Arabidopsis thaliana: one gene and its partners. The main gene of each other region encodes a partner of the protein of the gene in region 4 in a complex. Each region holds a gene or a part of one and is shown on either strand. Other genes may lie near its edges. The genes, in order: BGLU21, AT1G54010, GLL22 and JR1.

Region 1 (8,623 bases), on a different chromosome or scaffold from region 4:
CGGAACATATGAACCAATAGATTCCTAAAACCTAGAAAACAATTCTCATAAGCGATATCGAGAAAACACGAATCACTGCAAAATTTTAGACGGAAACTCGTAATCGCATCTCAGAAACATAGATCAAAGCCCTAGATCTAGATTCGTAATCGAAAAAGTGAAATCAATCGGAAACATTATACGCGAAACCAGATGAATCGAGAATCGAAACGTTACCAGATTAGGAGAAAAGACAGATCGGAGAAGATCGAGAGATCTGTGTTAGGGTTTTGAGGAAGCTTTTGGGGATTTTTTTTTTCTCTTGAGGATTTGATGAACGAAGGGGGGGAAATAGTTTGTGATTGAGATTACTGGTTAATGGAGAGGAGAAGGTATCTTTTTTTATATAGGACTAGGTCAGCAGGGTAATTATGTAACTTTTCTCGATTTAGGGGGGGCGTTTTGCGTCTCTTATCAAAAGTAGACAATTACCAAAAAACCGTAAGGGAAGATTGCCAGCTATGCGTTTCCGCGTTTAGTTAAAAATAGTTTATAAGATAAGGATTATACTTTTCGAAGATATCAAAAATGCCCCAGTTGTTTTTCTAATTGATATGTTGATACTACAATTTTTTTTTTTTTTTTTTATTGTGTATATGTAAGAATCTATCAATCTATCATTCCTACGGAACCTTTTTGGTACTCCTGAAAAACAAATCTTGATCAAACCTATATTTGCATATGCAGTTTAAGATTATGTCCAGTGGTGAGAACCTTCTATAGACTCTCACTATTTTTTTGTTTTATTTTTTTTTGGAAAGATTTATTAATTTTGTTATCTTTCCATGGTAGGTTCTCCAAGTAGGGTTCTTTAAAAGAAAGTGTATATGATCCTTTGTGGCTCAAGATCAGTTCCAATTTTATTATGTGATCCTTGTGCCTTGTAATAGATGTCTAAAGATGAGTGTTAAAGAGAAAAACAAACCAAAAGACATGACTCACTACAGAGCATAAATTACAGTATATGCATATATTTCAAATCTTACCAATTTGGTAGGTCTTGTCTTTCCTTTTTTGACAGACAATCCTTCCAACTCAGCTTCAAAGCTATCAATCTACGACTCTAGTTCACTCACTCACATATCAAAAGCACGAAAATAAGTAATGAATCAGCTACAGTACTGATAGGAGATGCTCCAAGAATTCTCAATTTTACAAAAGAAACAGTCTGAAAGTGAGTTGGCCTTTAAATTTTTTGCTTTTAAAAAAAAAATCTTGAAAATCACTATTTACATAAATCGTTTTTGATAAGTGACTACTAGTAAGATAGAATGTGATGATTTCATTATTAACACATACGTTTGATTGTTTTTTTTTGTTTTTTTTTGCTTGCTAAGAATGAAATATGAATTTCCAAAGTAATGAATGATGTTGGTATTGCATGGTGGATTTATTTGGTTGCATCATGCATGGATTTTATTTCCTTAAGGTATATAGAAAATACGCTTGGCCAAATGAGTGAAAAAGAGATATCTTCTCTTGCTGGTCGTCCTGTTTTTTAATCTAAACTAGTGACTTTCAAAAATAAAATATTAGAACTGTTTGGGAAAATGAATTGCCATTGTTTATTTCATCGCCAACGTTTAAGTTGTTAGTTTTTGAAATGTTTGTACTTAGTTGTTAAGACGACGTCAAATTATTTCCTAATCTATTTCTATGTATAGAGGTAAATTCGTATTTTTAATTTTCTAAAACTAATGATATTTTCTTACATCATTTTGTAACTCATAAATTTTTTAATGTTAAGGTTGTATGATTCAATTTTTCTTCAAGTTTGGAAGGTAAAACATATTTAACTTCACATATTGATTCTCAAAAAGGATAACGTCATTAAAACTAAAGCCTTCTTGATCTTGTCGAATAAGCTAGAGATTGAAGGAAAACGAAACACTTTTATTATTATTAACCACGACTCATGAATCGTGCGTGGTCAATCACAAACTAAAACATAGGAAAAACATCGAATAGAAAACGAAATCCTCAAAATATAACTTAAAGCTCATCCCTCTTGAGTGCGGATGGACGAACACCTTGAGCGAGGAAATCTTTGTAATACTTGGCTGATTCTTTCTCATAACGTGTGAGGTTATTTTTGAAATCGACGTAATAGAGTCCGAATCTGTTTTTGTAACCATCTTGCCATTCGAAGTTATCCAACAATGACCATACAAAGTATCCCGTAACTCTCACCTTATCGATGCTGCACAAACACAATTATGTTCTTAATTAGACCATTCAATAGAATCGTTAGTCAATCTATCAAATAATAAAAGGCTTACCAAATAGCCTCGTTCATAGCCAGAAGATGCCTCTGAAGATAATATTTCCTGTTATGATCAGCAGTACCAACGTCAACCGAATCTGTGGTCCCAAGTTTATCTCCATATCCTAGAAAAAACAACATTATAATGATCAGTATATTACTCTTAAGAGTTAAGATTAAATCAACACACAAATATAACAATAAATCTCGAGTTACCATTTTCCATTATCATAATCTCCGGGTTTGCGTATTTGTCCTTGATGTACTTTAAAAGCTTTCTAAATCCTTTAGCGTAGACGGGCAATGCAGCAGTAAGAGGCTGAAATAAAGCAATGGTGAAAATGTTATGTCGTAGACAAAAATTAACAATCACAAACTAGGACTAGTTTAATCAAACGCTTACCATGCTACCAATGGCGCTGTGATCTACATTCTTAGCTGAAAAATAAAAAGTGAAAATGTATGCATATCAATTAGTATTATAAAACCTTTTATCTTTAGTTTCTTGGTTTGGTTTCATGTACGGAAAACAAAAAAAAACTTACGTTCCCAGGAAACAAGAGAATCTTGCTTCCAACTTGGTTTAGACGGATCTGGCTTCTCATTATAATTTGAAAATGTCGAAGTATAGTAGTTAAGCCCTACGAAATCGGTCGAATCTTTCAATTTTGCTTTTTGTGCAGCAGTAAATTGAGGCAATCTGTAACCAAGAAGGTCTTTCATGATTTGTGGATAATCTCCCGAAGTAGTTGGCTCCAGATGCCTACACAAAATTAATAACTACATTAATTTTTATGAAATTATATACGAGAAACCATTTTCTAACATAATATATACTTACCATCCCAACATAAAGTCAAGTACACGGCTAACAGTTGGAGCGTCATTTGAATCTTTAAGATCATGTGGTTCGAACCAAGCCGGACTATGTGCGATTCCGATTTTCCCACCTTTAACCTATGTCCATAAACACAACACAAAACAACCTATTTTAAGATTCGAAACCTGATAATTAATTGTGATTTATATCTAATGTGACCTGATAATTAATTATGATTTATATCTAATGTAAACTACCTTTTGGCGGAAAACTTCAACAGCTTCTGCGTGAGCGTTGAGGAGATTGTGACTGACTAGATAAGCCTCTTTACCAGATTGTCCCTCTCGGTCTTCGCAACCTGGAACGTAGCGAGAACAACGTCCTGGTGCTTTCTTTCCTAAGTCGTAACCTGCGTGAGCAAAGACCCATGGCTCGTTGAAAGTGATCCAGTTTTTCACTTTTCCACCGTATTCAGTGAAAACATAATCTGCATATTCTCGAAAATCTTTCCTGTATTTTTGCAAAAAAAAAAGATACCAAATTAATAATTTCCATATAAACTTAACTAAATGTATTTTGTTTAATTTACAAAAACATACACAATGTTTTGGCTTAAGAAACCGCCATATTCGTCTTCCAAATCTTGTGGAGTGTCCCAATGGAAAACAGTCACAAACGGAACTATACCTATTTATGACGTAAAATAGAAAGAAATGTTAAATAAGGATACTATATTACTTGTATTTTTGTGAACTAGGTATTTTATATGTATATAACCATTTTTAAGGAGTTCATCGATGAGCTCGTGGTAGAATTGCACACCAGCTTGACTCACTCCCTTCTCCTTTCTCCCATCTAATAAAGCATTACAGTTTGTTTCATTAGTTATTGATACTTCAACATTCACATATACATCATCTAAATTCATTGGTTATTAGTATTATATAACAATCACATAAATCTAATTTCACCAAATTCGATTAAAACAAAATCAAACTAGAGATCTGCAGACATATACTCACGAGGAAATATTCTTGACCATGCGATTGAGAGTCTGAATGCATCTGTGTTTAGATTCTTCATTAGCTGAATATCTTCCTACAAACATTTTTAAGACAAGGCAAAATTTCAATAACATCTCGAGAATATAAGTTATGTTTGTCTTAAATTTATATTAATATATACCTTATAACGATGGAAGAAATCAACGGCCACATCGGCGTGGTCGCCACTACATCTCTCTGTAATTTGAAAGTAATTAAGAAAATTAATGGCTATGTATTGATATTAATTAGTTAAATTTAATTTAATATTTAAACATACTGTATTGAGAATGTAGATTATACGAGTACACTCACCTGGATTTCTTCTACAGTAGATATCCCATAGAGCCGGTCCACGACAAGTTTCATTAATTGCACCTTCGACCTAATGACATAACAAAAAATAGTTGATGAGTTGAGGAATATCACATGCACAAATGATTTCAAATGATAGGTATAACATATTTTGAGCAACTTTTACATAAAAAAAAACCATATTTTAAAAATATGGATTTGAATTCAGATAGAAACACAATAACGACACTACTTTTTGTTTTTTGAACTATGATTTAGTAAATCTGTTGTACCTGAAACGCAGCAGTAGCCGTGCCAAACAAAAACCCATTAGGGAAACTTGCTCGGCTTAGCTTGGAAGTCGCCGGGCAAACAGGATCATCAACCGCTGTTGTCACAGAGACGAGGATGGTTAGGAGCAAAAGCAGCCCCATGAGAGGAAACTTTTGCAATGCCATTTTTGTTTTTAGTTTCTTCTGGAAGAGAACAAGTTTATGATGATTTGTTTACATCCAATCGGAGTTCTTTATATAGCGATTTTGATTGTTTGTTAACGAGTGACTAAAATATAATTGTTTAGTAAAACTATTTTATATATAGGATGATTCATTGCATGACCTCGACCGTTGTGTTCTTACTTAGTTTGGAACATATTATATTGTGCGTGGAACTAATATAAGTTCTTCATCCATTTTGGATTTAATTATTTGATTAGTCCATTTTGGATATCATAATCTCCCAATATGATTATTTGTGTTTCATAATAAACCTTTTTCGGAATAACTCTTATGTACTTTGTCTATGGTTTCGATAATTAACTATGTTCATATATATATAAATATATAATATTGGTGTTTTATATAATTTAATAATTGTATATTATTTATTTGGTAATTTTTGGTTTAAACCACTGTCGCATCTACTGCTAAGCCAATCATAAAATTGCCGTAAATACACATATTTTTAACTGTAAACCAGTCATTTAAAATGTCCGATAACGTTTAAAACCTCAACCAATTACTTCCATTAACTTCCACAATGACAACCACACCCCGTTGCATTTAAACCAACGAAAACCCTAAATAATAACAAGCCTATTTTTGATACTCAAATAATTGGAGACTTTATTATTTTTCAAAACTTAATTGTAAAAACATATTTTTTAACTTGTTTAACGAACATTACTCTTAATCTTTCATAAATCAGTTTCTAATTCGAAAAAAAGTTATACCTTATTCTGAAAAAATTCAGGTAGCAAGTAAAGGATCTCTCATTTAATGTTTGGACTAATGAATGACTAAACTATATGAGTATGTATTTAGTAAGACTATTTTTATAGTATATAGGATGCTTCATGGCACGATCTCGATCATTGTATTATATATAGTTTAGTAAATCTATTTAATAAATAGGATGATTCATTGCATTATCTCGATCATTGACTAATTCTTACTTATTTTTCCTAGTTTGGAACATATTATATTGGGCGTGGAACATATAATATAAAAACGTGACTTAAAAATATATCATGTATGTCCAAAAAAAAAGTTTACAGCATGAGGAGTCCTCGAACCAATCGGCCGGCCCTAAGTCAATGGATCATTTAGTGCCTCGTATAGATCTAGATCGAGTTTTGGATCTTATTTTGTTATGGACGTTAAGTTATTAATGTGTTAGTGACTAAAATATAAATATATAATACAACTGTTTAATAGGATGACTCATTCCATGATCTATATGGTTTACATTACTTTTTTGTTTTCCAATATATAGTCCTCGTGTCTAAAACTCTAAACTAAATTATATCCTCTTTATATTTTATAATTGACACATTTTGCGCGAATAAAAAGACAAATCATTAACTATACAAATATACCATTACTTTATTAGATGATATTTCCTCTATTTCAAATTATATGATGTTTTAGATTAAAACACACACTTTAAGAAATTTATTTTTAATTATAAAATTTGTTCTCTTGATATTAAAAATACAAAATACAAACCAATAGTCAAATAATCAAATAAAATATATTTAAAAATTGCATTGATATTAGTAAAACATCCTAAATAAATCTCTGAAATATCCTATATAATGAATCAGAGTGAGTGTTAAATTTAAAACAAAAATATGAATAAATTAAAGAATAAACGTGGAAGTTTATTTGAAAAGTAAAATTGGAAATTTAAAATAACATGTTTTTTTTTGAAACAAAATAAAAATTCCACAAGAACACTAGTGGTTGTTATACAGAAGGACTATTATTAAATATTTTAAATTGGATGATTTCATTGCACGATATATAAACGTTGAGTTGTTTTTTATTTTTCTAAATCTTGAACGTATAATATTCATCATGCATAAACGTTGAGTTGTTTTTTTTATTGAACAGAAATAAAAATCCTCAAAATATAACTTAAAGCTCATCCCTCTTTATCGCGGATGGACTTAGGCCGTGTTCGTTTCATCAGTCAGATGGATCATCTAGATAGAGATGAGTTTTGATGTTCGTTTGGTGCCAAAAACGGTTCATTCAGATGATCTATCCAAATAAATCATCTGGATGACTTTGAAAATTTAAGCTAAATTTTGAAACTTATTTGGCTGAATTTAATTGGATCATTTGGATGGAGATGATCCAGTCAAAAATAACAAATAACAAAAATACCTTAATTATTTCAATTGATTATTTATATGTATTTTTTCGATAAAAAAACAAATAGACTTAAATCTTATTTTACAACTATTTTTAAAAAATAAAAAATTAAATTTTCCACTAAAACCGCAAAATTATTTTTTTTTCCGTTAAAACCGTAAAATTTTGTTTTTCCGCCAAAACCGTAAGATTCTGTTTTTCCGACAAAACCGCAAAATCACGTTTTCCCGCCAAAACCGCAAAATCACATTTTCCCGCCAAAACCGCAAAATCACGTTTTCCCGCCAAAACCGCAAAATCGTGTTTTCCCGCCAAAACCGTAAAATCACGTTTGTCCGTCAAAACCGTAAAATCGAGTTTTTCCCGCCATAACCGTAAAATCACGTTTTCTAGTCAAAAACGTAAAATCACGTTTTTCCGCCAAAACCGTAAAATTTTGTTTTTCGCCAAAACCGTAAAATCGAGTTTTCCCATCAAAACTGTAAAACCACGTTTTCCCGCCAAAACCGTAAAATAAATTTATAAATGTAAAAAACTATTATTTGAAATTTATTTACTTTTAAATATATTTTAGATTAAGAATTAAAATTAACATGTTTACAAGTAATAATAAAAAATATAATTAGATGAAAGCATGGGTAGTTTAGGTATTTGTATTATTACAAATCATTTGGATGGAGATAGAGATAAGCAAACGAACATCTCATTCGGATGGTCCAGTCAAATGAACCGACTAAAAATGAAACGAACAAGAGTTAAATAAATCATCCAAATAGACATGTTGAATGGATCAGTTGGATGGATCTATCAAATGTAGAAACGAACAGGGCCTTAAAACCTTGACCAAAGAAATCTTTGTAATACCTGGCTGATTGTTTCTCATAACATTGAGATTATTTTTAAAATTGACGTAGTAGAATCCCAATCTGTTATATTAGAACCATCTTGCTGATATTATGTTGTGTTCATTTTTATGTACATTGTCTTATCTTATCCGATATCAAATTATGTAACTTGATTTTATCTAAATTGTTTGGAAAGATTAATCTCAAACTTGTAGCTACGGTGTGACATCTTATCCGATCTCAAATCATGGTGATTTTCTAAAAATGTTAAACTATTTCCATTGTTTTATTTCATCGCCAAGCGGTTTAAGTTGTTGAAGTTATTAGTCATTAAAATATTTGCACGATTTAGTTGTTAAGACGACGTCTAGTTATTGCATAATCTATTTCTTTAAATAGAGGTAAATTCGTATTTTCAATATTTTAAAAACTATGATATTTTTACTTCATATTTAAAAACATCAGTCCTTTTGTAAATTTAAGACTTTTTTTAATATATATAATACAATATTTCTTCATGTTTTGAAGGTAAAGATACCTTCATATAAGGATAATATATTTATACTAAAGCATTCTTGATCATGTCAAATAAGCTAGAAACTGAAGGAATACAAAACACTTTTATTATTATTAACCAAGACTTCATGAATCATGATCAATCA
Region 2 (7,563 bases), on a different chromosome or scaffold from region 4:
AAAGGTCTCAAATTGAATCCACTACCTTCTTAAATTGATTCCACCAAAATTTATCATTTTGTTCTAATGGAGTGCATGTGGCCCGAAACTTGTCTAATCTGAGCACAAAGCAGGTCATTGGACACGCTTTGGTTCATATTGTCAGGTTTATCACGTTACTCATTGAGATTTTTCTTATGGAAAAAACAGAGTTGAGGTTACATTATTATTTTAAATCTCAACAAATTAATAACAGCGCATTTCAAATTCCAAGAGCTCGTTCATGGTATAGAGATGGAAAATAGTGAGCTCAAGAACTAAACGAGTTAGATAGATTCACTAGCATCGACGTCGACGTCATGGACTAACGATGATATTCTCATCCATTGGATCCTCCCAAAACTCACGCATAGGCTCATTAACAGGATACACAATGAGCTCACGAACATTCATAGGTTGGATAACATTTGGGTCCGCTCCAAAAGATAAGATGATGAGAAAACGCTTCTTGTGCCTTCTTTTTTTAATTATGGAATTACCTTTTAATATGTGGTTGACAAAAAAAAGAAATAAATTTATGTAAAAGTTTTGTTTCTTTTAAATAAAAGATTTGCAAGGGGTAAGAGTTGCAGAGATCAATCTTTTATTATGGAGGAAAACTCACTAGAGAAACATGAAAACATTGGAAATTAAAACTACTCAAGATTCCGATATTGATCCAGTTATAATTTGACTCATAACCCTTATAGAAACCCCGATCGATCCCTAAATATTGATTTTAGAGACTCAGTAATACTCGTAACCGCGGCTCTCCCTGAGTTGAACGGTGGCTGACGTTGGGGGCACCCAAGACTCACGCATAGGTTCATCGGCAGGGTAAACGACAAGCTCACGGATGTTCATCGGTTGGATAACATTTGTATCGGCTCCAAAAAGAAGATGACCAAACATCTCTTGCGCCTTCTCAGTGTTGTGACGTCCGTCGAAGAATAGGTAAGACCGTTGGTACTCGCATAGCCTCGAATGTACGTTAGGAAAACCGCAACCATAAGCATCATGTGTCCCAACTCCGCAGCACGATGCGTTCGTAACGAAAAATCCTAAGAATGGCAAATATTAAACACATGGTATTAGAAGTTATAAAAAAATTTAAAAATGAAATTAAACCATGATAATTAACCAACTCACGGAAGTTTTGGTTCCTCTGCGTCCTAGTAAGAATCGCGTTGTAGAAATCAAAGACGGTGAATTGGAAAGGAGCTGATGCAGGAGCTGTTCTAGCCAATTCGTTCAACATCGGTCCAATTTTTTCGTTGTGTTGTTTAGCCAAATCGTTGAGTTTCTCATAGCATTGATCCATCCCGGTGTTGAACTCTTGTCTGACGATGGGTAAGCAACCCAATGGAGCTAGGGTTTGGATCACAAATTTACTCGCTCCTGATGAATACAACAAGCTGATATCGTTCTTTAACTTGTTGGTCACGGAAGTGACAAAAGCTTGTTGAGTAGATGCATCGGCGTTAGGGTTGTTCTTGGTGAAATTCAAGTAATCGTTTGCACCAATGTATATCATAAACACTGACTTCTTCACGAAATCATCATTCCAATTTGCTGCTTTCATTTGATTGAACTTTCTCACTTGTTGATTCAGAGTCAACTAAAAAAACAAAAAAAGACAAAAAGACAAAATTATAATTGCAGTTAAAGTCAGATGTCTTTAATAAAACAAAAATATGCCGTTTAGTATGATCCAGGCTAGTCCATAAGACAGGTCAAGCACATGCTTTAGACCAGAAGATATATACTAAATCATTCGCCAAAAAAAATAAAAACAGTAATTTGGTAAAACCTTTAATATATTTTATATCATTAAGAAGGCCATCTTCCAATTGTGCTAAGGCCACCTGAAGGTAAATTAAGGACCGGCTATGTATGACCGGGTCAATAAAAGACAGACATGGTTCATTTATTTTGAATAAGATGATTATAGTAAGAAATTAAGTTGACTTACAGATTCCACCGGAGCTCCGAGTAGAGTAGCATCAGCGACGGCGAAACTAGCTCCACGTGAGACATTGACGTTCGGTTGAAGGGCCGGCGGGATCACGATCGGAATCCTCATGAATTTAGCTGCATTTTGTACATTAAATATATTAGGTTTTCATATAATACAAATATAATCTCCGAATCTGTTAACGAAAAAAAATCAAAAAAAAATCCATGTGTTTCGAAAAGTGAATACCAGCTGAACCTTTTTTATTTTTAAAATATTTTAACCGTTATTTTTAGTAATTAACTAATATCCAACACTCGTCATTTGTACTAACGTTTTAAATGATAAAAAATATCATTTTGCATGTTTTATGTTTTGTAGAATTCGGATTAAGATCTTTCAGTTATACAAACAAAAAAATGTCGCACCGAGGAAGTCTGGAGCGATGAGGCCGTCGGAGAATTTGCCGTTGGGATCATCTCGGGATTTTCCATACGGCCAGAAAGTTTGAGGGAGTAAGGTTTTGGTGAGAGTCTGTTTGTTTCCGGCGTCGAAGTTGGAGTCACCAAAGGTGAACAAGCCCACCGCCGGAATATTCTGCCCGGCGACGGTGATGGGTTTGTTAAAGAGGGTCAATACCAAAAATACACATAGAACACTGACTAAATTACAGTTTTTTGCCATCATTTAGAGAGTATACAGAGAGAGAGAAAGTGAAACAGAACAGTAAATGAGTAGAAGATTGCTTTTGTGTCTTAGCTCGTAGACCGATACGTTATATTTATATTGTAAATACTACACAATTTGGCAACTGAATTTTTTTTATCAAAAAGATTGTTTTTAAGAAAAAAGCAATTTAGCAATTGAAAAATATTGTTATTTAAATATGAATATATGATAACGTGTTGCTCGAGGTTCATTTTTTTCTTTTTTCTACACACCTAGTTAATGCACAACTGGTATCCCATTTCTATTTTATTTATTCTTAATTTTCAAGATACATTTATTGTTACTAGTATCAAGAAGATCGATCATGCATTGAGGGCAGAAGAAGATTTAAATGCATATTCCTATATTTCAATAAAATATATAAAAAAACATGTCAAATGGAACCTCTCACCTATGAAAACGTAACTAAGAAAATACTCCATGCATTTCAGATCAAGTGTTCGTTTTTTTTAAATACTACAAACTAAAAAAAAATTGTTTTACTATGATTAATTCATTCTAGTTAACACATTAAAACAGTATAAATAAAATTTGGAACTTTAACCAAAATTTTATATTAAAACCTAAAACAACACTTATTATAAAATAATTTTGGAACAGTTAAAAATTGAAACCATTTCCACTATTTCATTACAACAAGAATTGCAAAAAAAAACAAAAAAAAAAGTAAATAAAATGACTCAAGTGAGTTATGTAATTTGAAATCCATAAGTCTTAAATGATTCCACCAAATTCAATCATTTCGTTCTAATGAGTGCGTATGGCCCGAAACTTGTCTAATATGAGCACAAAGCAGGTCATATATATGCTTTGGTTATATTCTCAGGTCTATCAAATTACCCATTAATTGATTATTTTTTTCTTATGAAAATAAGCAGAGTTGAGGATTTAAACAGTATTAATTATTTTACTTCGCAACTAATTAAGAACAATACATTACAAATTCCAAGAGCTCGTACGTGATCTAGAGATAGAAAATAGTGAGCTCAAGAACTAAACGAGGTAGACAGATCCACTAGTATTGGACTAACGATAACTTCTCATCCATTGGATCCTCCCAAAACTCACGCATAGGCTCATTAACAGGATACACCATGAGCTCACGAACATTCATAGGTTGGATAACATTTGGGTCAGCTCCAAAGATAAGATGAGCAAACGCTTCTTGTGCTTTCTCTGTGTTATGACGTGCGTCGAAGTAAAGGTAGGATCTTTGATATTCGCATAACTTCGAGTGCACGTTAGGTAAACCACAACCATATGCATAATGCGTCCCAACACCGCAACACGATATATTCGTCACGGAAAACCCTAATTAGTCATAACAACAAGTATTATTAAATGTTTGCTTCAAAGTAAAAGCATATAACGATATTAATGATAGTGTGGAACTTTGAATGGCGAATTGTAACTCACGGTAGTTCATGTTTCTTTGTGTCCTGCGAAGAATAACGTTGTAGAAATCGAAAACGGTGAATTGGAAATCCGGTTTAGTTTCCGCCATTTCGTTCAAAATCGGTCCAATTTTAGCGTTGTGTTGTTTGGCCAAATCATTGAGTTTCTCGTAACAATTGTTACCGGTTTTAAATTCTTGTCTTGCGATCGGTAAACAACCTAATGGCGCTAGCAAGTGTACGACGAATTTACTAGCTCCAGATGAATACAACAACTGCAATTAATCATTATAACAACATATCTATATCACTAACTCGTATTAATTTTTGATTAGTTTTGGATGAAAATACTTACGTTGATATCACTCTTAAACCGGTTAGTGACAGAAGTAACGAAAGCTTGTTGAGCAGAAACTTCAGCATTAGGATTGTTTTTGGTAAAGTTGTAGTAATCTTCCATACCAATGCTAATCATAAACACTGATTTCTGAATGTAATCCACTTTCCAATTTGATATCATCTGATTGAATTTCCTCACTTGTTGATTCAGAGCCAACTACCAAAAAAATGTGAATCTTTATTATGACATTGCTTTACGATTGATTAACAAATATTTTAAGTGAGCTTACAGAATCTTTTGGAGATCCAAGAATGGAAGCGGACCCGACGGCGAAGCTGGCTCCTCGTGACACATCGGTGCCGGGTTTTAGCGCCGGCGGTAAATCGTGTGGTATCCCCATGAATTTTGCTGTGATTTATTCACCCCTCATCAATTTCATATATCTTTAATTACCAATCAAAATTTCCATTTAGTATAGAGTACCTATAAAAACGAGTAGCTAGTTTTCTTAATGGTTAAATGATATGCATTATAGCATTATACCTATAAAGAGCGTGTTCATCTTGTATACGTTGTTAAAATATTAAAGAAATCAGGCTGATTCAGATTGAGACCTTTGAAAAAACAATTACTAGCCCGTTACGTTTTTACCAACTTTTCACACATTATAAAAGAGTTTGCAATATTGAAGTACCCGTTGCAATTGCTTATTTTTAATCGAACTCATTATAAAATCATTTATTGATTTAAGTAAAATATTTAACAACTGTATTGGGACAGAATTTTAACATGAAGGATAACAAATAAGCATCAATCCACAAACCATATGTTGTCCTCTATATGTTTACTTGGGATTAGAAAGATATAATAAAACAATCTGATTCCTTTTGAAAAAATTAAAAGTGTAAAATAGAGATAAATTTACAAACTTACCAATAAAGTCCGGGACAATTTTGCCATCAGAAAACTTGCCCTTAGGGTCATCTCGAGATTTACCGTAAGGCCAAAAGTTTTGAGGAAGTGGAGCACTTGTGAGGAACTTTTTATTTCCAGCGTCGAAGTTGGAATCTCCGAAAGTGAACAAACCCACCGCCGGAAGATTCTGCCCGGAGATGGTGACAAGGTTATGAAGGAGAGGAAATACCAGTAATATTCCTAGTACACTCACTGAACTACACTCCATTTTCAGTTAACCAGAAGGAAGAATGATGAGGTACAATAAGTTCCTCGGTCCTCTAATATATTTATATTGTAAAATATTTGGAAATAAAAGAGCTTTTAACATGTTCTATAATTGATGACAAAAAAAAAAGAATGTTCTATAATTAAAGATTAAACGAACTCAGTTTAAAATAAAGAAAAAAGTTTGGGGAAAAAATATCTAATAAAAATATAAACGTTAGAAAATATATATTTATTGTAAACGTTAAGAGCTGTTACGTAATTATAGAACAAACAAAAAAACAATTATGTAACACAATTTTTTAAGAAAATAAAACGTTTCGCAAAAATGTCATGTAAAATCATTGTTAGCAAAAGAAAACCACAACGCCGTGAATATTCAATCTCTCACGTTTTTGCTATGTCTTATATCAATTGAAACTAACTAGTTAGTTTCTACAGTTCTTCTACCTAGACACGTTTGTTCTATTTTTAATAAGGTTGAGAAAGATGTTTTTCTTTTTCCTTTTGTCAAAAAGTTGCTGCTCTAGAAAGCAGAACACACTTGAGCATTGAGCGACCAAAAAAAGAAGAAGAAAGACTTGAGCAATGATTAATGTTTTTTCTCTCACAGTTTTTAAATTACCCTTAATAATTTTTTTTGTTAACCCTTAATAATTAATGTATTCAAGTTTTGTTGAACCAAAACATCATTTATTTTCAAGAGATTTTTTTAATAGTCTTTATCTTGTTAAAAATAACTTCTTCTTTTTGTTAAAAATAATTAAAAGAGCACCAATGTATATTCAACTAAACTACAAATCTTAAAAAGTAAAAACTGAATCCTATACTTTCTAACCGAATCTTAAACATGAATTCCTAAATCCCTAAAACCTTATTTAAACCCTTTATCCATGCTTCAAAGTTTCAAATTCTTTACAACTAATCAGTATAAATTGATCTGACTCAAACTCAAATATATATGCATATATATATATATATAATATTAATGATATAGAAAAAAATGAAGAAACTCAAAATCACGGGTCCATCAAACTGCGACATGATAATGATTAAAAAAAAAAAGTTGCGACAAGATAAATCTCAATTTGTTTTTGCATTTTTGAAGAAATATGTTAGTTAGAAACAGGGGCGGACCTATTTAGGAAAAAGGGGGGTCACTTGACACCCTCAACTCCGGGATCAAATCTCTAGCATAACACTTTTGCTTCTTTTTTCTCCATTTAGCTTTAAATACATGTATTTTTATTGTCTTATATACATTTTTTCTTTTAGATATTACACTAATTAATATACTATTTATAATTGCCTATGAAAATGCCACTGGTTAGAAGATATTTAGTCATGTAGAACAACCTGTTAGTTATAGGGGAAAATGCTATTGTAATTCACATTTTTATTTTATTTCTCAACCACCACCAACACATGCATGTGTGTTGTTGTGCCCACACTTTTTCAATAAACTTAAAATCAAGTAAACTTAATAAAAATTATAGTAAGTATAAAATGATATGGACCAAATCTATGAATAAGTTTAGTTTAAATAGTAGATTTGTAAGATATTCATTATGTTTTATAAAAAGTGTAATAATGACATGTTTTTGATAAACTATCTTAATAATGACATGTTTCACACAAATTAAGATAATTACGCAAATTTTTACTATATCACATGACTAAATTTTTTAATAAGCTGTAAAGAAAAACTATATCAGAAAACATAAAACAGCTCACTACTGGCCAAAAAAAGTGTTAAAATGTTAGTCAAAATTTCAAAAAAGAAAATATGATACGTACATGAAATTAATTAATTAATTCCATAACATTCGTAGAAGCAATACGTTATCGCCAATCAATAATTTGACTAATTCAAAATATCGTTTTCGTTATCGAGGTGAACACATGGAGCTGCTGATCCATGAATGAAGTTACAATCTTGTATCCAA
Region 3 (7,805 bases), on a different chromosome or scaffold from region 4:
GTGATTTGAAATATATAAACACAAATCGATAAATCTTTGGAAATTTCCATTACACCTTTTGTGTTTTTATCCTCATTAAATTGTTAAAAAAATAAAAAAAAATACTTTGATTGCTACAATAAACTTTACTAGTTTAACTTGTCATATGGTATTGTCGCTGTATTAGACCGATCACACTTACACTATAATAATCTATATGACTACAATATTTCGTTCGCATAATCATTCGATCGTATCCTCACATTTCCACAACAATTTGGTATTAATTTTCGGATTATTATTTTTGTATGATAACTCGTTTTATTTTCTAGATTAGATGGAGTAGGTTCTTATATATTTCTATATACATAAATAAAAACAAATTCGAAAATCTATGATTAAAACATGTATGTTGTCTTTGTCACCTACATACTTTAATCAACAAGACATCATATCGATTTTGATTAAAGCCGTGCATCGGAAAATTTTGCTTTAGAACAACAAACTTGACCATGCATAATTAAGAATGTCTATACTCTATAACCAAGAAAAAAAAAACTGTTAGAACAAAACTGTTATAAAAAAAATTATAAATATATATATTCAACAAGTGCTAGCTTGTGGACAGAACATAAACGTTAACGATTAAACATGGTTCGATTAGTTTTGATCATCTTCTTCGTCTACACAATAATCTTGTCGATCGGCTCAATCAACTGCATAGACAATAATAATCTGGTAACAAATCAAGCTGCTTTGTTCGTGTTCGGAGATTCTCTTTTTGATGCCGGAAACAACAACTACATCAATACTGTCTCAAGTTTCCGGTCTAATATCTGGCCGTACGGTCAAACCAATTTCAAGTTTCCCACCGGAAGATTATCCGATGGACGTTTGATTCCCGACTTCATCGTTAACATAACAAAACTACTCTGCTTTGTTATTTTTATTTCCTAGGAATGTTTAACATTTTTTTATTCACTAATTGCTGACCTGGAAGCCGAAAAGGCATGGTTGCCGTCGATCCCGCCAAATCTACAACCAAACAACGGTAACAATCAATTTACCTATGGAGTAAGTTTTGCTTCTGCTGGCGCCGGAGCTTTAGCCGAATCCTTTCTTGGAATGGTAAATATCATCAGTTTTTTACTACTGTTCCATTTCACTAGAAATGTTGTTTTGATATTCTTCATGCGCAACCTTAAATGTTTCTGTTTTTATGTACTTACAAAAACTATTAACTCTTGGAATTTTGGTTTATTTCATAATTGATGTTAATGAATTTTCATTTTGACTTTAATAGATATTGAAATATTAGTTAATGGTATTTATTTGAAAGAGAAAAAAATTTAGAAAGATATTTAAATTGAAATAAAGGGCGTAGAAATTAAAACAATTGTGTAATTTTTATTACTTTAACCGATGATATATAGTGTTATTTGATTAATTGATATGTTCCACTTCTTCTTTTTTATCATGTAAGGTGATAAATTTGGGAACACAGTTAAACAACTTCAAAGATGTTGAAAAGAGCTTGAGATCTGAACTAGGAGATGCAGAAACCAAAAGGGTTTTCTCAAGAGCTGTTTATCTGTTTCATATCGGGGCCAACGACTATTTTTATCCTTTCTCTGCAAACTCCTCAACTTTCAAATCCAACTCCAAAGAGAAATTCGTCGATTTTGTTATCGGTAACATTACATTCGTTATCGAGGTAAACAAAAATCGGAAAATAATTTCAAATATTTACCTTTTTTCTAAAACTGAGTTATATATATATGTTATGTGATCTTAGGAAGTGTATAAAATGGGAGGAAGAAAGTTTGGATTTTTGAACGTGGGACCGTACGAATGTTCACCAAATTCATTGATAAGAGACCGAACAAAGATAGGATCTTGTTTCAAACCTGTCGCTGAGCTTATCGACATGCACAACAAGAAGTTTCCCGATGTTTTAAGGCGGCTACAACGCCAATTATCGGGTTTTAGATACGCCCTTCATGACTATCACACTTCTCTTTCCGAAAGAATCAACAGTCCTTCAAAATATGGTTACTAAACTTGGTATTTACATATATGTAAGAGATCGATCTATAGGTTACCTTTAAGAACATTTTGTGTTATGTTTGTTAATTTTTAGGGTTCAAGGAAGGGAAGAAGGCATGTTGTGGAAGCGGACCACTGAGAGGAATCAATACGTGTGGAAACAGAATAGGACCGTCGCAAGGTTACGGCCTATGCGAAAACGTTACCGATTATTTGTTCTATGATTCCTCTCATTTGACGGAAAAGGCTCATCGACAAATCGCAGAGCTGATTTGGAACGGGCCGCCTAATGTCACTAGACCTTATAATCTCAAAGCTTTATTTGAACTTAGGCTTACATAAAAATCGCCTATATGTATGTATATGAAAATAACTGACGAGGTCACTATATATTGTCTAATAATGTTAGTCATGTAATTTTTTGAGTTAGGATAATAATAAAATCGATTAGTTTTTTTGTGTGGAAAGGAGAACAATTCTATGGTGAAAGTAAATAAACTTGATGAAATACTAAGGTACAAAGACAATTAGATAGACACAAGAAACAAGCATGTCGTAGCAGAAACCTTATTATTAGGGCTTATTTGCGTTGACCTTTCTTGCACGGGAAGATTAGCCGCCAGCGCGAGAAAAACCATTAATAACCCTACGACGATTGTTAATTTTTTTGTACGAATGTAAATTTGATTCACCAAAAACAACTTTGTTTACATTATGCAATAATTTGTTTAAATTTAAATGTTGAGCTTAAATTTTAATTAGGAAAACAGTTTGTATTTTGAAATATTAGAGACGTCTTGTGGCAAACCAGTTACACAAAGCATCATCAAACTTGCCTTTACCGTGAGTCTTTAGATCGGACTGTTCGATCGATATCCTTGATGAGGTTAGTCGCTGTTGAAAGTTGTTCCTCATGTCTTCTCATATTTTTTTCTCTACATATTGTATAAACTGCAATTTGGAAAGTACATGACCTCATATGTGTTGATGTGTGAGACTGTAGTGTGAACCAGAAACTTCGGCAGTCACCAACGTGTTGAATAGTAATATAAACAGTTGAGTTTTTCAATTATATACGACAAATAAAATGTTACCATATTAGACGGATCTACTATATTTATCATGTGATGGATCCAAATCGTTTTACTACTATTTTATGGAATTAATTATCAACATTGAACGTAGATAAAGGAGAGATAAAGTCAAGATCGGTGTGTTGCTTCAATTATTGAGATTTTTAAATTATACTATTTCAATTTGTATGTTTTAACTTATGTCCAGATTTAGCGTCATTTTTTTCTTATTTAAATAGAAAAAAAATACTTAAACTTATGACCAGATTTAGCGGATGAGATTTGTTTGGTCTTATTATATTTTTATTTTCCTGTCGCTTATGATCCACAAAATCAGATCACTAATGCCCACTATATGTATTTACTGTAATAAAATAATCCCAACTGGTAATGATATTTATTTTCAGTTTGGGAGTATTATATTTTCCCAGCTGGTAAAAGATACTTTATCATATTCGTTTTATAATTATAATTAGCTTATTGTTGGGTCAAAAGAAACCAAAAGGAATTAGCTTATTATTTTAATTCGGTGTCATAAAACGAATCAGTCATATATTTTTACATAATTTATACTTACTCTGTTTCTTTTTGTTTAATTGTTTAGAAAAAAAATTATTTCAAAAATATTGATTTTTTAGATTTTTAATACAATAGTTATTAGTTATAATTGATAAATTGTAAACTTCAATACAAATTAGTAAATATCATTGGTTTAGAGTTATTGAAAATTGTAAATCACAAAAAACAATACATTTAAAAGCAACATTTAATATATTTTCTTAATATTTATGTTTTTTCTAAAAAATCAAACAAAAATGAACAGAAGGAATATAAGATATCGAATAGATTAGAGTAAATCGATAGACTAATGAACTCTCGATAAATTCCAGGACGTGGAAAGAGTTGATAAGATCAATCTTTTATTATAGAGAAAAACTCACTAGAGAAACAGGAAAACATTGCAAATCAAAAACATCAAGATTCCGATTTTGATTCGGTTATAAATTAACTCATGACCATTGTAGAAAACCTGATTGACCCTAAAGATTGAGTTTTAAAAAGACTCAGTAATACTCGTAACCGCGGCTAGTGGACGAGCTAGAGTCGCTGGCGTGGACAGTAGCTGGCGTTGGAGGCACCCAAAATTCACGCATGGGTTCATCGACTGGGTAAACAGTAAGCTCACGGACGTTCATCGGTTGGACAACATTTGTATCGGCTCCAAAAAGAAGATGGGCAAACATTTCTTGCGCCTTCTCGGAGTTGTGACGTCCGTCGAAGAATAGGAAAGACCGTTGGTACTCACATAGCTTCGAATGCACGTTAGGTAAACCGCAACCATAAGCATCGTGAGATCCAACTCCGCAGCACGATGCGTTCGTGACGAAAAACCCTAAGAATGACAAATATTAATGACTTGGTATTAGAAGTTATAAAACTAAAACAAATGAAATTAAACCATGATAATTAACCAACTCACGGAAGTTTTGGTTCCTCTGCGTCCTAGTAAGAACGGCATTGTAGAAATCAAAGACGGTGAATTGGAAAGGAGCTGATGCAGGAGAGTTTCTAGCCATTTCGTTCAACATCGGTCCAATTTTTTCGTTGTGTTGTTTAGCCAAATCGTTGAGTTTCTCATAGCATTGATCCATCCCGGTGTTGTATTCTTGTCTGACGATGGGTAAGCAACCCAATGGAGCTAAGGTTTGGATCACGAATTTACTCGCTCCTGATGAATACAACGCGCTAATATCGTTCTTTAACTTGTTGGTCACGGAAGTAACAAAAGCTTGTTGAGCAGATGCATCAGCGGTAGGGTTGTTCTTGGTGAAATTTAAGTAATCGTTTGCACCAATGTATATCATAAATACTGACTTTGCCACGAAATCATCGTTCCAATTTGCTGCTTTCATTTGATTGAATTTTTTCACTTGTTGATTCAGAGTCATCTAAAGAACCAAAAAAGAGAAAAAGACAAAAATTAAACCAATATTATAAGTGCAATTAAAGTAAAGCTTATTGATATTAAGTCACATGCTTTTCTGTGAAGTAAAACAAAAAGAATCCCGCTTAGTATGACCGGGTCAATAATAGACAGATATAATTGATTTTCTTTGAATTAGGTGTTGACTATAGATATATACATGACTCTTATATAATAAGAAATTAAGTTTACTTACAGATTCCACCGGAGCTCCGAGTAGAGTAGCACCTTCGACGGCGAAACTAGCTCCACGTGAGACATTGACGTTCGGTTGAAGCGCCGGCGCGATCGCGAGCGGAATCTTCATGAATTTAGCTGCATTTTGTATTTTAAAAATATTTTAGTTTTTCATATAATATCAAATCATTCCTTGTACTACATCTCCGAATCTGTTGACGAAAATAATAAATAAAATTTCATAGAATGTGTCCCGAAAAGTGAATAGCCGCTGAACCAATGCATTTATAATCTTTTTTTTAATCATACTATTTACTATTTTTTAAGTAATTCACTAGTAGCATACTTAAAATGCATTTATAAATACTACTGTTTATGATTATTTTTACGTAATCATACTATTTTTAACATACTTAATGTTTTAAAGATTAGAGTAGGATTCGATTAGAAAAGAAGTCGTACCGAGGAAGTCCGGAGTGATGAGGCCGTCGGAGAATTTGCCGTTGGGATCATCTCGAGATTTTCCGTACGGCCAGAAACCTTGAGCGACTAAGGTTTTGGTGAGAGTCTGTTTGTTTCCGGCGTCGAAGTTGGAGTCACCAAAGGTGAACAAGGCGACCACCGGACTATTCTGTCCGGCGACAGTGATGGGGTTGTGAAAGAGGGTCAATACCAAAATTACACATAGAACACTGACTAAATTACAGTTGTTTGCCATCATTTAGAGAGAGGGAGAAACAGAACTGTGAAAAGAGAAGAAGATTGCTTTTGTGCCTTAGCTCGTAGACCGATTCGTTATATTTATATTGCAAGTACTACAATTTGGCAATGAAAATAATAGTTCATTTTACTATACAAATAATAACGTGTAGCGCGAGGTTCATTTTACTATACACCTATTTAACGCACTAGCAAACGATTATCGATCAATTATATTATATAGTTCGCTTAATCACGTCTGACGCATTACTGGTTTCTCTTCTACTTTATTTTTAATTCTCAACAAAATATCTATTGTTACTACGAGTACCAAGAAAGATCGTGCTTTTTTTTTTTTGGTTCAACAACAACTTACAATTACACAAGAGTCTGAATACACATAAGCTTTAACCCAATCCGGCAATATAGAATACAATTTGGGATCATAATTCAGAAAAGAAAGAGATTCCCTAGCAATTCTATCTGCCACACAATTCCCTTCTCATCGGGTAAAAGTCACTTTAACCTCTTCGAAGTGCTGAAAAGATCGTGCATTTAGAGGCAAGAAGTAGAATTAAACATACAAATTTCACGGAAATATAGGGTGTAAATGGTAACACTAAACCAGATTCAGTAATTTCTGCAGTAACCATTTGCATAAAACTAAATTTTGCTGACTAGCCAAATTCAACAAAAAAATTTCAACACCAACATATACGTAGATATGTTTATTTCTGCTAAAACTTTTGGATAATTTACGAGTACACAACTCGAATTAAAATATTTTTAATATCAAAATACATATCAAATAGATATTTTTAAATAAGTCAGATTATACTGATACGATATATGAATAATATAGATACATAAAATATCACTACCAGAATAGACAAGAGACGAATATGTTCGGATAATTATAGATAATTTGGATAATAATTTTAATAACGTTTAGATAACTTAAATCAATTATTAAAATTTTGCAAAAACAACTCATACCTATGCTAAGATATTCTTTAAAAGATAAATTATAGTAATTTCCTTAATCATCCTCATCATATTATTGATTAAATTACTTGAAAACAATTAAAAAAAACAATTAACAATCTATATTTTATCATCATGTTAATTTTTGAAATTATTTTCTTAATAGTGTTTTGACAAAGATTTTCGTTAATTATTTACATATTTTTAATAGTTCAAATTTAAATAAGAAAGAATAACTCAATTTTGCGTTGACACAATCTTAATAGTATAGGTAATAGCTTAGTTATGTATATATAAATTATAAAAACTTGTGGAGAGTTGTTCCTTAAGATTTACAGTGAAGATTAGAGAAGATTAAGTTTTGAGAGAGTGTCTATATCAAATACAGAAGAGTTGGTCCTTATTCGTTTGTAAGTTCTAGTAATTATCAATTTGATTGGAATCATTAGAACGACAGAAAGGTGAACAATTTTGTTTCTAAAAGAGTGCAGAAACTAGATAAAAATAAAACACATTTGCTTACGTGAAGATGAAGTTTTATATGAAGAACGCCTCATTTGTTTGGTTCATCTATTATCTATATATATGATTTTTGGTTTTATTTCATATGAAAATTAACTGTAAATATAGCCGGCCCCAAAGCCAGATGTATAAACTTATCTTTTCTGGAACTTTATAATTTCTACTTTTTATTTTCTTTGTTGCCAATCATTTCGAATATTACCTTGCAAGAATAATTGCAAACAAAAAAAGAGGGTAAAAAAGGTCTCAAATTGAATCCACTACCTTCTTAAATTGATTCCACCAAAATTTATCATTTTGTTCTAATGGAGTGCATGTGGCCCGAAACTTGTCTAATCTGA
Region 4 (7,826 bases):
AAAAAACACACTAAGATCACTTATTTTTACAGATATAATGTGTAATTTTTTTGTTAAGTTAATTAACTTTAATGTCATATACATACATAATCAGTTCACTTTGGCTCCGGACGAGTACATAACGGCCCTTTCTGCTTACGGCAAATCGTTGAGTACGCAAGAAGTTATTACGGCGTTGACTTTCACAACCAACAAGACTTCTTATGGACCTTACGGTACCAAATCCGGTTTCCAGATTTCTGCTCCGGAAGCCACCGGTAAACAGATCTCCGGTTTCCTTGGTACCAGCGGCAATGTTCTCAACACCATCGACGTTCACTATTCTCCCATACCTACTGGAGGAACTGGCACCGGAGGAACTGGCACCGGAACTGGCACCGGAACTGGCACTGGAACTGGCACTGGCACCGGAACTGGCACTGGAACTGGCACTGGAACTGGCACCGGAGGAACTGGCACTGGAACTGGCACCGGTACTGGAGGAACTGGCACTGGAACTGGCACCGGAGGAACTGGCACTGGAACCGGCACTGGGACTGGCACTGGAACCGGCACTGGGACTGGCACTGGAACCGGCACCGGAGGAACTGGCACTGGAACCGGCACCGGAGGAACTGGCACTGGAACCGGCACTGGGACCGGCACTGGGACCGGCACCGGAGGAACTGGCACTGGAACCGGAACTGGTACCGGTTCAGGTGCTCAGAAATTGGAAGCACAAGGCAACAGTACAGGAGGTACATCATGGGACGATGGATCCGATTACGATGGCGTGACCAAGATATACGCAAGCTACGGTGGGGAAGGTATTCAATACGTCAAGTTCGACTATGTGAAAGGTGGAGTAACAAAACAAGGAGTTCTACACGGTAAACAACAAAGTAGACAAAATCCAAGAGAGGTAAGCTTACGTACAACTTTCTTTCAAGGTTTCTAACTATATTTTATACAAAGATTATATTACTGACATTGTGAACCCTTTTTAATTTTTTGGGTAGTTTGTGATTAACCATCCGGATGAGTATCTTGTTTCTGTTGAGGGTTGGTATGAAACCGTCATGCTAGGAATCCAGTTCAAAACGAACTTGAACACTTATGAGGTCAGCATCTATCCTTTCGAACCTAGTACTGATACTAAATTTACTCTTCAAGTTCAAGACAAGAAGATCATTGGATTTCACGGTTTCGCGGGCAACCATGTTAATTCCATTGGAGCTTACTTCGTTCCAAAATCCTCCACCACTCCTGTTCCTTCAACCCCTTTGAAGCTGACCGCAGAAGGTGGTGAGACAGGAGCTGTATGGGACGATGGTTCTCACGATGATGTTAAGAAAGTTTATGTAGGACAAGGCCAAGATGGTGTTGCAGCTGTCAAGTTTGAATACAAAAATGGTTCTCAGGTTGTTTTTGGAGATGAACGTGGAACGAGAACATTGCTAGGATTCGAAGAGGTATGCACGCTTAAGACCAACTATTTTTATTGGTTTCCCTTTTCAACTAATTTCACTATTCATTATGCATTTATCTATGTAGTTCGAGCTTGAATCAGACGAATATATAACATCCGTGGAAGGATACTACGAAAAAAACTTTGGAGTTGATACTGTAGTGACAACGCTGATTTTCAAGACTAGCAAGAACAAAACAGCTGGACCGTTTGGGATTGTATCTGGCACAAAGTTTGAATTCAAGAAGGAAGGTTACAAGATCACTGGGTTCCACGGACGAGCTGGTGAGTATGTTAATGCTATTGGAGCTTATTTAGCTCCATCAGGCACCACCCCTTTGACTCCTGCAACACAATCCCAAAAGCTAGAAGGAGCTGGTAGTGAGGCAGGAACTTTATGGGATGATGGTGCTTTCGACGGTGTAAGGAAAGTGTCTGTAGGACAAGCCCAAGATGGTATTGGAGCGGTCTCGTTTGTGTACGACAAAGCAGGTCAGGTTGTAGAAGGAAAAGAACATGGAAAACCCACATTGCTTGGATTTGAAGAGGTATACTTTATTAGTTCTTGCTTTCTCTTTCGTCGTTTAACCGTATAGTTTATTATCCTCAATTTTGTTCTTTTTTGTGCTTCTTGAATTGCAGTTTGAGCTTGACTATCCAAGTGAATACATCACGGCAGTTGATGGCACCTACGATGCAATCTTTGGGAATGAACCAATCGTAAATATGCTTAGGTTCACGACTAATAAGCGAGTATCTATTCCTTTTGGAATAGGAGCTGGCACAGCCTTCGAATTCAAGAAGGACGGTCAAAAGATAGTTGGTTTCCATGGAAGAGCTGGTGATCTACTTCACAAATTTGGAGTCCATGTCGCGCCAATAACCAAATAATTATGGAGATTTTAAGTATCTTTTGATGATAGTTTACACACTTTGAATAAGCTGATTCTACTTTATTTCTCTCTGTTTGTTTACTGCTTCAGTGTTTTAAGTCTTCTCTTTGTGTTTGTTGCTGTTGTGTCTTTGATGGATTTTTGTGATCCGATTTAATAAAAGAAGTGTGTTCAAAGTAATTCTCTAGTCTCTTTATTTGAAATTCCGGGGATAGCAGATTGGTTTCCGCAACATTGACTCCAAGTTTATAATGATCTTGATGATGGTCTAAAAGTTTTGAATAAGCTGACTCTAATTTACTAGGTTCTGTTTGTTTATATACCTTCAGAGAGTTTCAAGTCTTCTCGTTGTGGTCTTGTTCTGTTTTCTTGATGTGATTTCTTATTCATTTTAACAAAAGAAGTTTGTGCAAAGTCACAATGCAGAAACCCACTTTATTTAGATTTTAGATAAGCAAAGCACACAGATGCATTATCCTTAAGAAAAACAAAATACAACACTAGACCACAACTTCATAAACTCACAACATAACCTTATTCAAATTTCAGGGATATCCAGATTGGTTTCACATCATTTGGCTATGGGCGCAACATTGACTCCAAGTTTGTAAAGATATTCACCAGCTTGTCCATAGAAACCAACGATTTTGTGGTCTTTCTTCTCCAGTACGAATTCAGTTCCTCCCTCGAGTCCATACGGGATAGATGTTCTCTTGTTTGTTTTAAACTTAAGCGAGACGATTGCCGGGGCATCTACACTAAAAATCTTGTCATAGTAGCCCGACACGGCAGTGACATACTCATCTGGTCCAAGCACAAACTGCACGTTTTGCAACAAAATTAAAGACTTTAGGTTTCTAGATCAATAACTATAGAAAACAAGATTTGAAAATGAAATCAAGATTACAACCTCCTCTGCTCCAAGCAATGTCTTCTTCCCATGATCACTTCCAAGGACAGGCTTTGAAGCCTTTTCATAGTCAGCTTTGAAATAGGTCACACAAGAGTCACCTTGTCCAACATATATCTTCTTGACACTGTCGTGAACACCATCATCCCAAGCAACTCCACCATCTCCACCTTGTGCTGGAATAGTATTGGAAGAAGGAGTCAATGGTGTGGACGAAGGAATAATATAAGCTCCTAGAGAATGGATCAGATCACTTGAAGTTCCATGGAATCCAACGATTTTGCCGCCTCCTAGCTCAGCTTCTTCTCCAGAGGTTAGTCCAAACGGCTGAGAAGTTTTTCCTTTGAATGTCTTGAATATAAGAGCTGTGACGATCTCTATCGGTGACCCGAAAAGTTTCTCGTAGTAAACTTTCACATAGGTGATGTAGTCTTCAGGATCAATCTCAAACTGCAAAAACAAAAACACATCAATACTAGAAAGAAAGAAAAAAAAAACTTTTGGGCAATTTCAAGAAATACAAAGATTTGTGTACCTCCTCTGTTCCAAGTAGTGTTTGCTTCCCATGTTCAAGTGATACAATCTTACCATCTTTCTCGTAATCAAACTTGACATAAACAACACCAGAGTCACCTTGTCCAACATAAACTTTCTTTACATTGTCATAAGCACCACCGTCGTCCCAAACATCTCCACCACGACCACCTTGAGCTTCCAATTTGGTCAGACCACCTGATACCGGCGGAGTCAGCGGTGTAGTCGACGGAATTATATAAACTCCAACAGAATGGATCAAATCACTTGAACTTCCATGAAATCCAACGATTTTGCCACCTCCTAGCTCAGCTTCTTCTCCAGAGGTTAGTCCAAAAGGCTGAGAAGTTTTCCCCTTGAATGTCTTAAAGATTAGAGCCGTTACGATCTCTATCGGTGATCCAAAGAGCTTCTCGTAGTAAATTTTCACTGATGTTATGTAATCTTCTGGATCAACCACAAACTAGCAAAAAAAAAAAAAGACAACCAAAAATGATCAGTTAATGTTGATGACAAGAGAACTCTCATTGAAAACAAAATATTTACCTCCTCTGTTCCAAGTAGTGTCTGCTTCCCATGTTCGTGTGATACGATTTTTCCATCTTTCTCGTAATCAAACTTGACGTAAACAACACCAGAATCACCTTGACCAACATACACTTTCTTGACGTTTTCGTAAGCACCACCATCGTCCCATTCTTCTCCTCCACGACCACCTTGAGCTTCCAACTTTTTCGCCATCTTTTCTTCTTAACCTAAAGTTATAGTACCCATTTCTTAGAAACTGTAAACGCACAAGAGCCATGAACAGACACTACTCAAGCACTTTCATGATGATGAAACTAATCTAATCTGAGGACTATAATACTTCCACTAGGACATTACTTTAAACAATGGTATCATATTCTCATAGATTCATTATCATATAAAGAAATTCAATAATTCAAATAAAACTAGTAAAAATCAATATAACGATTTTGTGAAAGAAAGAAAAAAGGAGTACATTAAAGGGAAGGAAGAAACACCTTTGAGTGTGAGAAATGGAGATGAAGATGGAATATGAATGAGTTAATCTTGGGATTTTGTATATATACTATATAGTATATATAAAACATTTTTGAATACGAACATTAAATTCTCTTTTCATCCAATACTAACCACTTTTTTTTTCTGCCAATACTAACCACTTTTTCTTTTCTTTTTGAGAGACTTTATATTCAACCAACTCGTGCTTCACGAGGGATGGAAGCTTTGATTAGTTAGGACTTAGGAACTTGTATTAATCTAAATATCTTTTTTTTTTTAAAATTGAATCTACCTTACAACATAAAATTTGTAAAGAGAATTCCAAAATTCCAAAAAAAATCACCTAAAATTTTAAAATCGTGAAAGCAGCATCGTAAAGATGTTCTCTTCTGTTTTTTTTTTTTTTTTTTAACTCTCTTTTGAATATTGGATTAGAGATTTTCACAGTGTCGTAGATTCTTCGTAGAGTCTGTTATGAGTTGACATTTACCATAGGAATTGCATTATCGTGAGAAGGTTAAATGATAAATTGACATTTATAAATTCTCAAAATGTAGGTTATGAGTTGTCAAAGAAATGTAGGCTATGAAAAAAAAAACTTACGTCTAAAAAAATGCAAAGTTAAGAAAGAAATACTCAAAGTTCGTGGCATTTGACCATCTCTCAGCTACACCTCAAATTATAGCTCATGAGAATGGCCCATGAATATGATTGTGGCTCCGTTAATCACGTGGTATTAAAACTCACACACGACCATTTCTCATCTGCCTCCAATTATAGCGAAACCGTTACAACTCGTTGTTCACGTGAGCATCAAAATGTGCATTACTCCTTTCAAGTTCGGCAAATCCTAATTATCCATTTTAATGGACTGCAGAGACTTTAATTAGAGCTTATAGAACTTTAAACATTTTGGTTTAAATCTTAAAATAGAAATTTAACCAATCTCAAATGATTTTTTTTTCTTTTCTTTTGGCATAAGTTTCATAACTCGATGATGAATGCTACGATAATATAGACATACAGTATGATGATTAGATGAAAACAGATAAAGAAGAAAAAGTGTATCGTACGCCCCACTCGGTGATAATGATTAATGAGACTATATATGAGAGTACCCAAATATGATTTTTTCCACTCATGAATCGTATTGCACTATTTCTGCATTATTAAGATAGACCCACATTTAACATTAGACCAAAAAAAAAAAAAGATAGACCCACACCACCTGTTATAGTATTTAGTATTTTTACACATCCACTAAACGACGACAATTGACAAAATCACACAAACCTTTCTCCTTTATTCATTTTTGTTTAATTCGGGTCCCTTGCTTTTTAGCATTCGGCTCTCATTCTTATCTTCCCATGGATGGATAGTCATAGTTATATAATACAGTTCAATTGAAGTTATGCAGTATATATATGCACCACACACGAGTCTTCTATATATGTGGATACTACGTTTCAAAATAATTCTATTAACTTAGAGAAGATAAACTTTCTTAGTACTTTTTTCGTTTCACTTTACACACACCTCAAAAAAATTCTTGTTTCATTTGTGACTGCATGTAAATGTCGTTACCTTACTTGAATTTTTACACAATGGTACGTGAAAAAGAAAAGAAAAAAAATATAATTGAGAGAAAATATAATAGGATCACACCACTACAATACATGGGCTTTAAATTCATCTTTTCTATATGTTATAATTTGGGCCAAGACTATTATATCATATGGGCCTATCAATGTAATTAGAAGCAATTGCCCGATCCAATAACCTTAATTAGGAAAAAAAATCGTTCCCTTCTCTCGTTTCTTTTCAGCTCTGACTCGGCCTCTATCTCTCTCCCGTCGTCAGCCACATTCACCGGTACTCATCTGACCAAGCTAGGGTTTCGCAGTCATCATCATGTACCGTACGGCAGCTTCTCGAGCCAAGGCCCTTAAGGTCAATGTCCTACTTCACTTGTTTCCATTGAGATTCTGGTTTTTTTAGGAGAATGCTTAGTATTGAACAATTTGTATGATTCATTGTTTTTGGATTTGGATTAAAGGGTCTCTTAGATTCTTATAGATCTTGATTCAATTTTATCGCTTTATAGTAGCTGGTGCCATTATTCATGCTTTTTGCAGGTTTATGAAATGTCTCTGTTTCGAAAGTTCTTATTTTTACAATGTTAATTGAATCAAGAGATTAATGATGCTTAGGATGTGTGTGTGTGTGTGTGTGTTTATAGGGCATTCTAAACCACAATTTTCGAGCTTCTCGTTATGCAAGTTCTAGTGCTGTTGCAACGAGCTCTTCTTCCTCCAGCTGGCTAAGTGGAGGCTACTCTAGTTCACTTCCTTCTATGAACATTCCCTTGGCTGGTGTCTCTCTTCCACCACCACTCTCTGACCATGTTGAGCCTAGCAAACTTAAGACCACTACTCTTCCAAATGGTCTGACTATAGCCACTGAGATGTCTCCGGTGAGAGCTTCTTTTAGTAATCCCAACATCAACTTCCTGTTAAAAACTACTGGAAAGTGATTTTGAGTGAAATTTTGTTCAGAATCCAGCAGCTTCCATTGGTTTATACGTTGACTGTGGTTCTATTTATGAGACTCCTCAATTCCGTGGAGCGACGCACTTGCTTGAAAGGATGGCATTCAAGAGTACATTGAACAGAAGCCATTTTCGCCTTGTAAGGGAAATAGAGGCTATTGGAGGTAATACTTCAGCTTCTGCATCCCGAGAGCAGATGGGTTACACAATTGATGCTCTCAAAACCTATGTTCCCGAAATGGTTGAAGTGCTTATTGATAGTGTGAGGAACCCTGCTTTTTTGGATTGGGAAGTGAATGAAGAGGTACTTCATGTCATGTTGCATGTATCTCACAAACATTAAAGCTAAGCAATTTTTTTACACTGTTTTCATCATTTTTCTCCTGGCAGCTCCGAAAGGTGAAAGTAGAGATAGGAGAATTCGCAACGAATCCAATGGGTTTTCTTTTGGAGGCAGTTCATTCTGCT

What was found.
Region 1: JR1 (region 4) and BGLU21 share a complex: the UniProt entries of both Arabidopsis thaliana proteins name them as parts of the PYK10 complex.
Region 2: JR1 (region 4) and AT1G54010 share a complex: the UniProt entries of both Arabidopsis thaliana proteins name them as parts of the PYK10 complex.
Region 3: JR1 (region 4) and GLL22 share a complex: the UniProt entries of both Arabidopsis thaliana proteins name them as parts of the PYK10 complex.

The regions. Positions count from the first base shown.
Region 1 is NC_003070.9:24,698,079-24,706,701, forward strand, and holds BGLU21 (Glycosyl hydrolase superfamily protein), read right to left. Parts: upstream 5,089-8,623; 5' UTR 4,918-5,088; coding exon 4,753-4,917; intron 4,551-4,752; coding exon 4,481-4,550; intron 4,364-4,480; coding exon 4,308-4,363; intron 4,221-4,307; coding exon 4,145-4,220; intron 3,978-4,144; coding exon 3,900-3,977; intron 3,810-3,899; coding exon 3,722-3,809; intron 3,633-3,721; coding exon 3,380-3,632; intron 3,260-3,379; coding exon 3,144-3,259; intron 3,066-3,143; coding exon 2,848-3,065; intron 2,741-2,847; coding exon 2,706-2,740; intron 2,622-2,705; coding exon 2,519-2,621; intron 2,428-2,518; coding exon 2,319-2,427; intron 2,240-2,318; coding exon 2,032-2,239; 3' UTR 1,790-2,031; downstream 1-1,789. UniProt on the Arabidopsis thaliana protein: Beta-D-glucosidase active on scopolin >> esculin >> 4-MU-glucoside > DIMBOA-glucoside. No activity with pNP-glucoside, oNP-glucoside and sinigrin as substrates.
Region 2 is NC_003070.9:20,158,089-20,165,651, forward strand, and holds AT1G54010 (GDSL-like Lipase/Acylhydrolase superfamily protein), read right to left. Parts: upstream 2,777-7,563; 5' UTR 2,660-2,776; coding exon 2,401-2,659; intron 2,110-2,400; coding exon 1,991-2,109; intron 1,637-1,990; coding exon 1,168-1,636; intron 1,080-1,167; coding exon 766-1,079; 3' UTR 501-765; downstream 1-500. Other genes in the region: AT1G54020 (GDSL-like Lipase/Acylhydrolase superfamily protein), read right to left, coding at 3,717-4,012, 4,118-4,370, 4,451-4,651, 4,725-4,843, 5,369-5,618. UniProt on the Arabidopsis thaliana protein: Involved in the control of the PYK10 complex size and possibly substrate specificity. May be exported from the endoplasmic reticulum upon interaction with MVP1.
Region 3 is NC_003070.9:20,150,386-20,158,190, forward strand, and holds GLL22 (GDSL-like Lipase/Acylhydrolase superfamily protein), read right to left. Parts: upstream 6,136-7,805; 5' UTR 5,981-6,135; coding exon 5,722-5,980; intron 5,398-5,721; coding exon 5,279-5,397; intron 5,048-5,278; coding exon 4,579-5,047; intron 4,492-4,578; coding exon 4,163-4,491; 3' UTR 3,769-4,162; downstream 1-3,768. Other genes in the region: GLIP3 (GDSL-motif lipase 3), read left to right, coding at 631-871, 980-1,107, 1,463-1,693, 1,775-2,030, 2,120-2,367.
Region 4 is NC_003074.8:5,593,185-5,601,010, forward strand, and holds JR1 (Mannose-binding lectin superfamily protein), read right to left. Parts: upstream 4,861-7,826; 5' UTR 4,810-4,860; exon of another isoform or gene 4,788-4,809; intron 4,540-4,787; 5' UTR 4,526-4,539; coding exon 4,331-4,525; intron 4,248-4,330; coding exon 3,786-4,247; intron 3,701-3,785; coding exon 3,251-3,700; intron 3,161-3,250; coding exon 2,912-3,160; 3' UTR 2,497-2,911; downstream 1-2,496. Other genes in the region: JAL34 (Mannose-binding lectin superfamily protein), read left to right, coding at 95-901, 999-1,451, 1,534-1,995, 2,090-2,338; MPPalpha (mitochondrial processing peptidase alpha subunit), read left to right, coding at 6,722-6,760, 7,050-7,283, 7,366-7,662, 7,749-7,826.